Bombyx mori: one gene and its partner. The protein of the gene in region 2 purifies or fractionates together with the protein of the main gene of each other region. This does not show direct contact. Links are inferred from orthologs where the notes say so. Each region holds a gene or a part of one and is shown on either strand. Other genes may lie near its edges. The genes, in order: THUMP domain-containing protein 1 homolog and RNA cytidine acetyltransferase.

Region 1 (3,367 bases), on a different chromosome or scaffold from region 2:
TTTATTTATTTTTATTTCAGAACCTACTTATTTTTATTACTTAATACAAACAGAAACAAAAAATAGGTATAGCAAAAAGAAATCCATTTCAACCTCTTTTTAAACCCTTTTCACTATTTTTGATGTGTAAAATAAGATTCACTGTTTAAATGTTTGCTATAAAGATAGTTAGTTTAATTATTTGCATCTGTGTAGCAAATTCATTTTTTCATCTTTTAGTACGTATTGACATCTATGGGTGATTGAAATTCAAGTAGATAACGCTGTTGATCTGATTGAAAACCTCTTACCAATAAAAACTTCTAATTATCCATTTAACAATGAAGGATCTAAAACAACATTAAAATACTTAGTAGAGAAATTATATTTCAGAAGTTATATAGAAGCATGGAGTATTTTATGGCATACTGCCATCTTTCGATACAACATGTAACTAAATCATTTGATAAAGGCATAAAGTAATATTGCCATTACAGGAGTAGAATTTTCTTCAGTCCAAATTATTAACTTGAACTATTAATAAGCAAACAGATAGATAGTCATAGCTCATTAGTCATTTTGTGGTCATAACTAGTATAAAATATACTTACTTTTATGACAGAGTCTTATCTATAAATTTGAGGCACAAAGTGACCTACTAAGCCTTCAGCCAGTTATGTAACCAATGCCACAGCATTAAGCGGTTCTCTTGTTACATAATCTTGTAAAAACCTTAATATAACATAGGTTATTGTAAAACTAAGTAATTGTTAACATAATTAAGGTGAAAAAATACACAGATTAGGGTTAAAACTTTAATGAAAAATATTATAATAAGTAGAAAATTTGGTATAAGAGTTGGTATAAGCTTCCAGGCGCAGCAACCTAGGGATAGGTTAGAAAAAAATTTAATGTAGAAAAACTCTAGGGAAATATGTAGATTTATTGAGTATTCTGTTCCTCAGTTTCACAGTTCAAGCTACTCTTGAATTTTTTTGCCTGTGATTCTTCAGAATCATTTGATTCTTCCTTGCATATTTCATTAAGATTATATTTTTTATAAGTAAAGTAGTTATCAACAATACTCAGCAAGCACATTCCTTTAATAACTTCAACTATAATGCAGAGACCTGGATTTTTGAGGTCAGCTTTGTTCTCCCTGTTTTTTACAACTACTAATTCCGCAAGCTCTTTGATGATCAAGTCTCGGGATACACTGTTATTGAATCTTTTGTTGAAAACTACAGAAAAGCTAGTTGGTTCTTTTAAGAAATACTTATCAAAAAGTTTTCCAGCGCTTTCCATTATGTCCGGAAGGTTTGCTTTACAAGTAATCATTATTGGAAGCAGTCGCATCACATGTCTGGTTTTCTGAATTCGTGTAGCGATTAGGTCTTTTATAATGGCGGTGGTCAGTTCCTCTGGACTAGGTAAATTGGTTTTAACAAAGATACAATTTGATGCACCCGTTTCAACCACTTGAAATCTTTTAAACCGTAAAGATTTCTGCGAATTTTTTTTTATTGAATCCACTTCCCTTCTTAGTATGTCTCCAATATCAGTCTCATCTTCAGACTCGCTCTCGGACCTATCCTCGGGAGCGTCTGACTCAGGTACTGCAGACGGTGGAACTTGCTCCACATCTAAATCTGGGTAGAGTTTACTGGCATATTCGTTCAGAAGATTATATACTTCTTTGACGCAGTCTTTTTCTCTAAAGTTACACGTGCAAAAGAAGCCCTTGAAGCCGGGTTCTAAGAAATATTTGTTTCTTCGTTTCCTAAAGTAAAATTTCTTCTTTTTCCTCGTGTCACCCATGTTGAATGCACCGAATCAACTATGCAATCGATCTTTATAAGTATGGATGATATAACAGATTATTATGTTACGTATTGAATTGAATTACTAACTCAACAACATCCAACCTTCCAACAAACCGCTTGAAACGCAAGTGTCACTGGTCAAAGTTGTCACTGTTTTGACATTTTCCTAACGGCAAGTGGTAGCTGAGCTTTTGAGCCTATTTAGCGCAAAAATGTTCTTTGATATTTTTTTCCCTAACTTTTAGAGAATATAACATATTTGACAGGATTCTGAATCGCACTAACATTTTCAAAATAAGCTGACATATCGAAGAGGGATTTGGATGCGTATTTATCATAGAACCAATCACGAAAGAATTAACTTTGTAACGGCGCCTAGACAGAACCTGATACAGACTGATACAGTTACAGTCGACTATTGTATTCGCCACGGAACCATCTTTGAATAGTTTTTCTGTTCAAAAATTTATACGAATAGCAAATAAAACGTTTCTCAGATTCATTATAGGTAGGTAGGTCCCTGAGACTAATCAAGTTTTCTCTTTAATAGTATGGTATGTATTTTGTAAATATTTAAATGAAAAAGCATTTAGCCAAATTGAACTTGATTCAAAGAGTATTCTTTATTTCATTGACATGTGATATATTTTTCCCTTCTCTGCTTTAGAAACGATTTCTCTAAAGGCTTAAACAATACCTACATTGTAAAATACGAAAAATTAAAGCAAAATATGTTTTTGTTTGATTACACTTTAATAAAGTAATCTAAATATTAAATTACGTATTAATTTCCTTAACAGTTCAAATATCCAACATGTGCTTAAATCTAATTGATAGAATACTAAAAGAATACTTTTCGTAGACTTAATAAATTAACAATTGCATTGCTATTGTAATGTGGTTCATTTAATTTTCTTAGAACTTGCAGTATTTCGTTTTCATGACCGTTGGCAGATTGTTGACGACAGGTTTTTTCATTTTTGGGCATACCGTTATTCTGTAACAAATAATTTGGGAGTTCTTAGTCATTGGTTATTTTGAAATAATTAATTTCTGAAACAAGAAAAAACATTCTTCCGACCTTCAAGCGACAAGGGTTAAGAGTGCTTCGGACGTTTTTTTTTATTGCTTAGATGGGTGGACGAACTCACAGCCCACCTGATGTTAAGTGGTTACTGGAGCCCATAGACATCTACAACGTAAATGCGCCACCCATCTTGATATATAAGTTCTAAGATCTCAAGTATTGTTACAACGGCTGCCCTACCCTTCAAGCCGAAAGGCATGACTGCTTCACGGCAGAAATAGGCCGGGTGGTGGTACCTACCCGCGCGGACTTACAAGAAGTCCTACCGCCAGTAATCGTGACGTGAGTTATTTATGGTATCAGTATTCGGATAGCGCAATTGGGGAGCACTGATTAGATTCATTTTTGTTTTTCCCCTCCCCAATTATTGATAGCGTCAAAGGGCTATTCCAACTCCACCAGTTGATTCACGGCAGAAAAAGCGGAGCAAGCTCATGCGGGCTCACAAGACGCTTTGCCACCAGTACTTAATTACGCA
Region 2 (4,439 bases):
TTACAGATTACTAGGCTGCACTAAAAGTATCGGGAATGGAATATTTCCACTGTTCCTGTCATATTAAAATCTTTTTAATTGAAAACTCCTTGGTTTTAAAAATCGAATACCATTTATTTATTTAAAAAAAGATTCTCGGTCTTGTCACGAGGTTTTGTCAAACTTGTTTAGTCGTTGAGAAAATGGAATTGACTCGAGAAAATTCAAGAGCGATGATTTATTATGACTTTCGAAGTGGTTTAACACAAAAACAGTGTGTTGACCGGATGATTTCTGCATTTGGTGATGAAACCCCATCCAAAACCACAATTTATCGCTGGTTTGCTGAGTTTCAACGTGGACGTGTCAAACTCAGTGATGATCCCCGTCAAGGTCGTCCAAAAACTGCAGTCACCCAAGAAAACGTTGATGCTGTGCGTAAGCTGATTGAGGAAGATCGACATGTGACATACCGCGAAATTCAGGCAACTTTAGACATTGGCATGAGTCAAATACAAATAATCTTGCATGAACAATTAGGTGTAAAAAAGTTGTTTTCACGATGGATACTGCATTCGCTCTGTGAAGAGCAAAAAGCGGCTCGCGTTACTTGGTGCGTCAGAACTCTCGAAAGATTCCACGCAGGATCCTCAAATGCTGTATACAACATTGTATCAGGTGACGAATCCTGGATATACGCGTACGAACCCGAAACAAAAAACCAGTCACGAGTTTGGGTGTTCGCAAATGAGTTAAAGCCAACAAAAATTGTTCGTTCACGGAGTGTTGCAAAAAAAATGGTGGCCACGTTTGTCTCCAAAACCGGCCATGTTACGACTATTCCTCTTGAGGGACAAAGAACGGTTAATGCAGAATGGTATGCTAGCATTTGTTTGCCACAGGTCGTTTCTGAACTCCGTAAAGAGAACTGCAACCGCCGCATCATCCTCCATCACGACAATGCGAGTTCTCACACCGCGCAGAAAACAAAAGAGTTTTTAGAGCAAGAAAACATAGAATTATTGGACCATCCGCCGTACAACCCCGACCTAAGCCCTAATGATTTCTATACTTTCCCTAAAATAAAGAATAAATTGCGTGGACAGAGATTTTCATCACCTGAAGAAGCTGTGGACGCCTACAAAACGGCCATTTTGGAGACCCCAACTTCGGAATGGAATGGTTGCTTCAATGATTGGTTTCATCGTATGGAAAAATGTGTCAAATTTCACGGAGAATACTTCGAAAAGCAATAAATACAATTTTAAATAGTAATGTTGTGTCACTTCGTTAATTCCCGAAATTTTCAGTGCCGCCCTCGTATAACCTAACCTCTTAAATCTTTTTGTTAACTCACCCTTTGTATTATTTATCTCCACGCTCAAAACGCTCTTTAATCCATTCCACTTGAGTTTATGACAGTAACGCTCACAAGCAAGTGGAACGGGAAAAATTGCGGTCGTGAGTGTGTTCGTTGAGAACGCTTAGTGGAACGCACCCTATAAGATTAAATTTAGCAAAAAATGTTGAAAGAGCCTTGTAAACTTATTTTGCAATTATTGTCGTATTTATAATACGAAATTGGTTGCACTATTTTTTTACTATGGGTCATTCTGACACGTTTAACCGAATGAATTATATAGTTTAGCCTAGTTTAGTCTGGTCTAGACCTAGCCTGGTCAGGCCTAGCCTGTTCTGGTCTAGTCTAGTCCGAGCTTGTCTAGTCTAGTCTCGCCTTACTTATATCTTCAAATCTCGTTTCGTCTACTTTTAGTTTACCTTACATTAATAAGCTTGGCTTCAGCTTTTGTAATAAGTCTTGGTAGTATGGGCTGTATTGTCTTTGCCTGTCTATTAGATCAATCAAACAAATAACATGAAGTGTGCTTTTGTTTTGAATTTTAGGTTATAAAATTTTAAACAATATTTAACGCTACCTAGTTTAATAGATTTGATTGAACATATCCGAAAATGGTGAAAAAGAAAATTGATAATCGTATCAGGGTTATGATAGAGAATGGAGTTAAACTTGGCCATCGCACCATGTTTCTTCTCATTGGAGACAAAAGCAGAGATCAGGTAAATGAAAAATTCTTCAAATAATAAAATAAGCATGGTGATAAAATTAAAGACTTCATGTTAAGCAGATACAAGTACACAGTATACAAGTACCTATGTACTTTTCCTGTCTTTAAAACTTAAGTATCTAAAAACAATACAATTGTAATACATATCTACATTGATATTTGAATATTGGCTTTATATTTATGAAAATGTACGGTATTAAAATTTGTGATGCACATATTATATTTCTAAATGTAACTAATTTTTCTGTGAGAAAAAAACATTTCTATCATTAAAATTTCTCAGACACCACAACAATTATTCCTGCCTGAGCTTCGATCAACTGAGATATCAAGTTGCAATCAGAACAATTGGTACATTAGCTATCTATATCCAGCAAGACGTGTCACGCAAATCGCATTTTAAATCAATTTAACAAAAAATCTTAAAAAAACTTATTTCAGGTGCCCATTTTATATGATATGTTAGTCAAATCGACAGTAAAGGCTAGGCCAACAGTACTCTGGTGCTATAAGAACAAAGATGAAGCAATTAGCAAGTAAGTAACAATTTTTAGACAATTGTATTGTAACAATAGTTAACTACCCAAAACAATACATGATTTCATACTTTAAGAATATTGATTATAAATGAATTCCTTTTAGTCATGGTCGTAAAAGAGCCAAGAAAATAGCAGCTGGAAAACTGGAAGTCTCCGAAGAATCACTGTTTGATGCATTCAGAGTGGCCACTACTATTCACGGTAGATATTATTCAGAAAGTCATGCAATGCTCGGTCAGACATATGGAGTTTGCGTTTTGCAAGTAAGTTACAAATTAAAAAGACATGTTTTGAAAGGTATGCCATATAAAGCTACACCAAAAACTAGAGTGGCTCATGTAAAATTTGGTTATTGGCTACCATCCAGTAACTACATTTTTTCATGGTAAAATGCAAACAGTAAAAAAACTTTCAATTTTTAAATTAAATTTTAATTTTTTACTGGTGGTAGGACCTCTTGTGAGTCCGCGCAGGTAGGTACCACCACCCTGCCTATTTCTGCCATGAAGCAGTAATGCATTTCGGTTTGAAGGTTGGGGCAACTGTTGTAACTATACTTGAGACCTTAGAACTTATATCTCAAGGTGGGTGGCGCATTTACGCTGTAGATGTTTATGGGCTCCAGTAACCACTTGACACCAGGTGGGCTGTGAGCTCGTCCATCCATCTAAGCAATATAAAAAGACAAAAACCAATGATGATCTGACATGAGGTCAAATTTTTGGTTTAATGTATATGACGTTTATTTTTAGGATTTTGAAGCTCTCACCCCCAATTTGATGGCACGAACAATTGAAACTGTAGAAGGGGGTGGTCTTATAATATTCTTACTTAAAACCATGGATTCTCTGAGACAACTACATTCAATAACAATGGATGTACACTCAAGGTATTATTCTGTTCTTAATCACTACATAGTATAAAACAAAGTCGCTTTCTCTGTCCCTATATCTGTCTGTCCATACATAGGGGCAAAATTGTAATTAGGTACTAGTGATGGTGGTAGGGCGTTTTGTGAGTACCTTATATAAGAAACTAAATACATATCTATACTATCTATAATAATATTATATAATCACTACACAGTATAAAACAAATCGCTTTCTCTGTCCCTATATCCCTATGTATGCTTAAATCTTTAAAACAACGCAACGGATTTTGATGCGGTATTTTTTAATAGATAGAGTGATTGAAGAGGAAGGTTTATATTTATAATAATATCCATTAAATAGTGGAGAAATCAATAATAAATTACAGTTTCCGAAGCGAGGCGAGGGCGGGTCTCTAGTTTCTAATACAATACTGTAATGAAAAAAATAACTTTTAAATAAAGTATGTTGTGCCATTTGTATTATTATTATTTATATACACGAATTGACAAGCTCTCTTGAAGAGTTGCTCTACAATAATTGATCCCAATTAAAATGCAAATTGCCCTACTACATTTAAATACCATATCATTATAATCTCATGAGAACAGTATAAACGTCCAGTGACAACTACAATTTTAGTTAATTTAATATTTTCACAATAAATTTTATAATACTTTTAAGAGAAATAAAATAAAATTTATATTTAATTTACAGATTCAAAACTGAAGCTTATGACACAGTGGTCAATCGTTTCAATGAAAGATTTCTATTGTCTCTAGCAGATAACCCTAGATGTTTGGTACTTGATGATTCACTGACGGTTCTGCCGATATCATCCAAAACCGCCCAAATCGACCCTGTAGATGCTACACCAGAGGTAACAAATAGATTTTTGAAATTTTAATAGTAATTTATATATTATTTTGATGAATACAATGGAGGCCAACAAAATGGTTATGAAT

Evidence for each region.
Region 1: the proteins of RNA cytidine acetyltransferase (region 2) and THUMP domain-containing protein 1 homolog purify together in Homo sapiens (co-immunoprecipitation; 3 studies listed by BioGRID and IntAct, counting the BioPlex papers as one, with this or other methods). This does not show direct contact. The link is inferred for Bombyx mori from reciprocal best matches to the Homo sapiens genes NAT10 and THUMPD1.

What each region holds. Positions count from the first base shown.
Region 1 is NC_085128.1:7,272,261-7,275,627, forward strand, and holds THUMP domain-containing protein 1 homolog, read right to left. Parts: upstream 1,956-3,367; 5' UTR 1,798-1,955; coding exon 922-1,797; 3' UTR 781-921; downstream 1-780. Other genes in the region: pancreatic lipase-related protein 2, read right to left, coding at 2,718-2,799. UniProt on the Homo sapiens protein: Functions as a tRNA-binding adapter to mediate NAT10-dependent tRNA acetylation modifying cytidine to N4-acetylcytidine (ac4C).
Region 2 is NC_085120.1:8,061,416-8,065,854, reverse strand, and holds the start of RNA cytidine acetyltransferase, read left to right. Parts: upstream 1-1,615; 5' UTR 1,616-1,950; coding exon 1,951-2,058; intron 2,059-2,507; coding exon 2,508-2,602; intron 2,603-2,708; coding exon 2,709-2,868; intron 2,869-3,357; coding exon 3,358-3,494; intron 3,495-4,191; coding exon 4,192-4,354; intron 4,355-4,439. UniProt on the Homo sapiens protein: RNA cytidine acetyltransferase that catalyzes the formation of N(4)-acetylcytidine (ac4C) modification on mRNAs, 18S rRNA and tRNAs.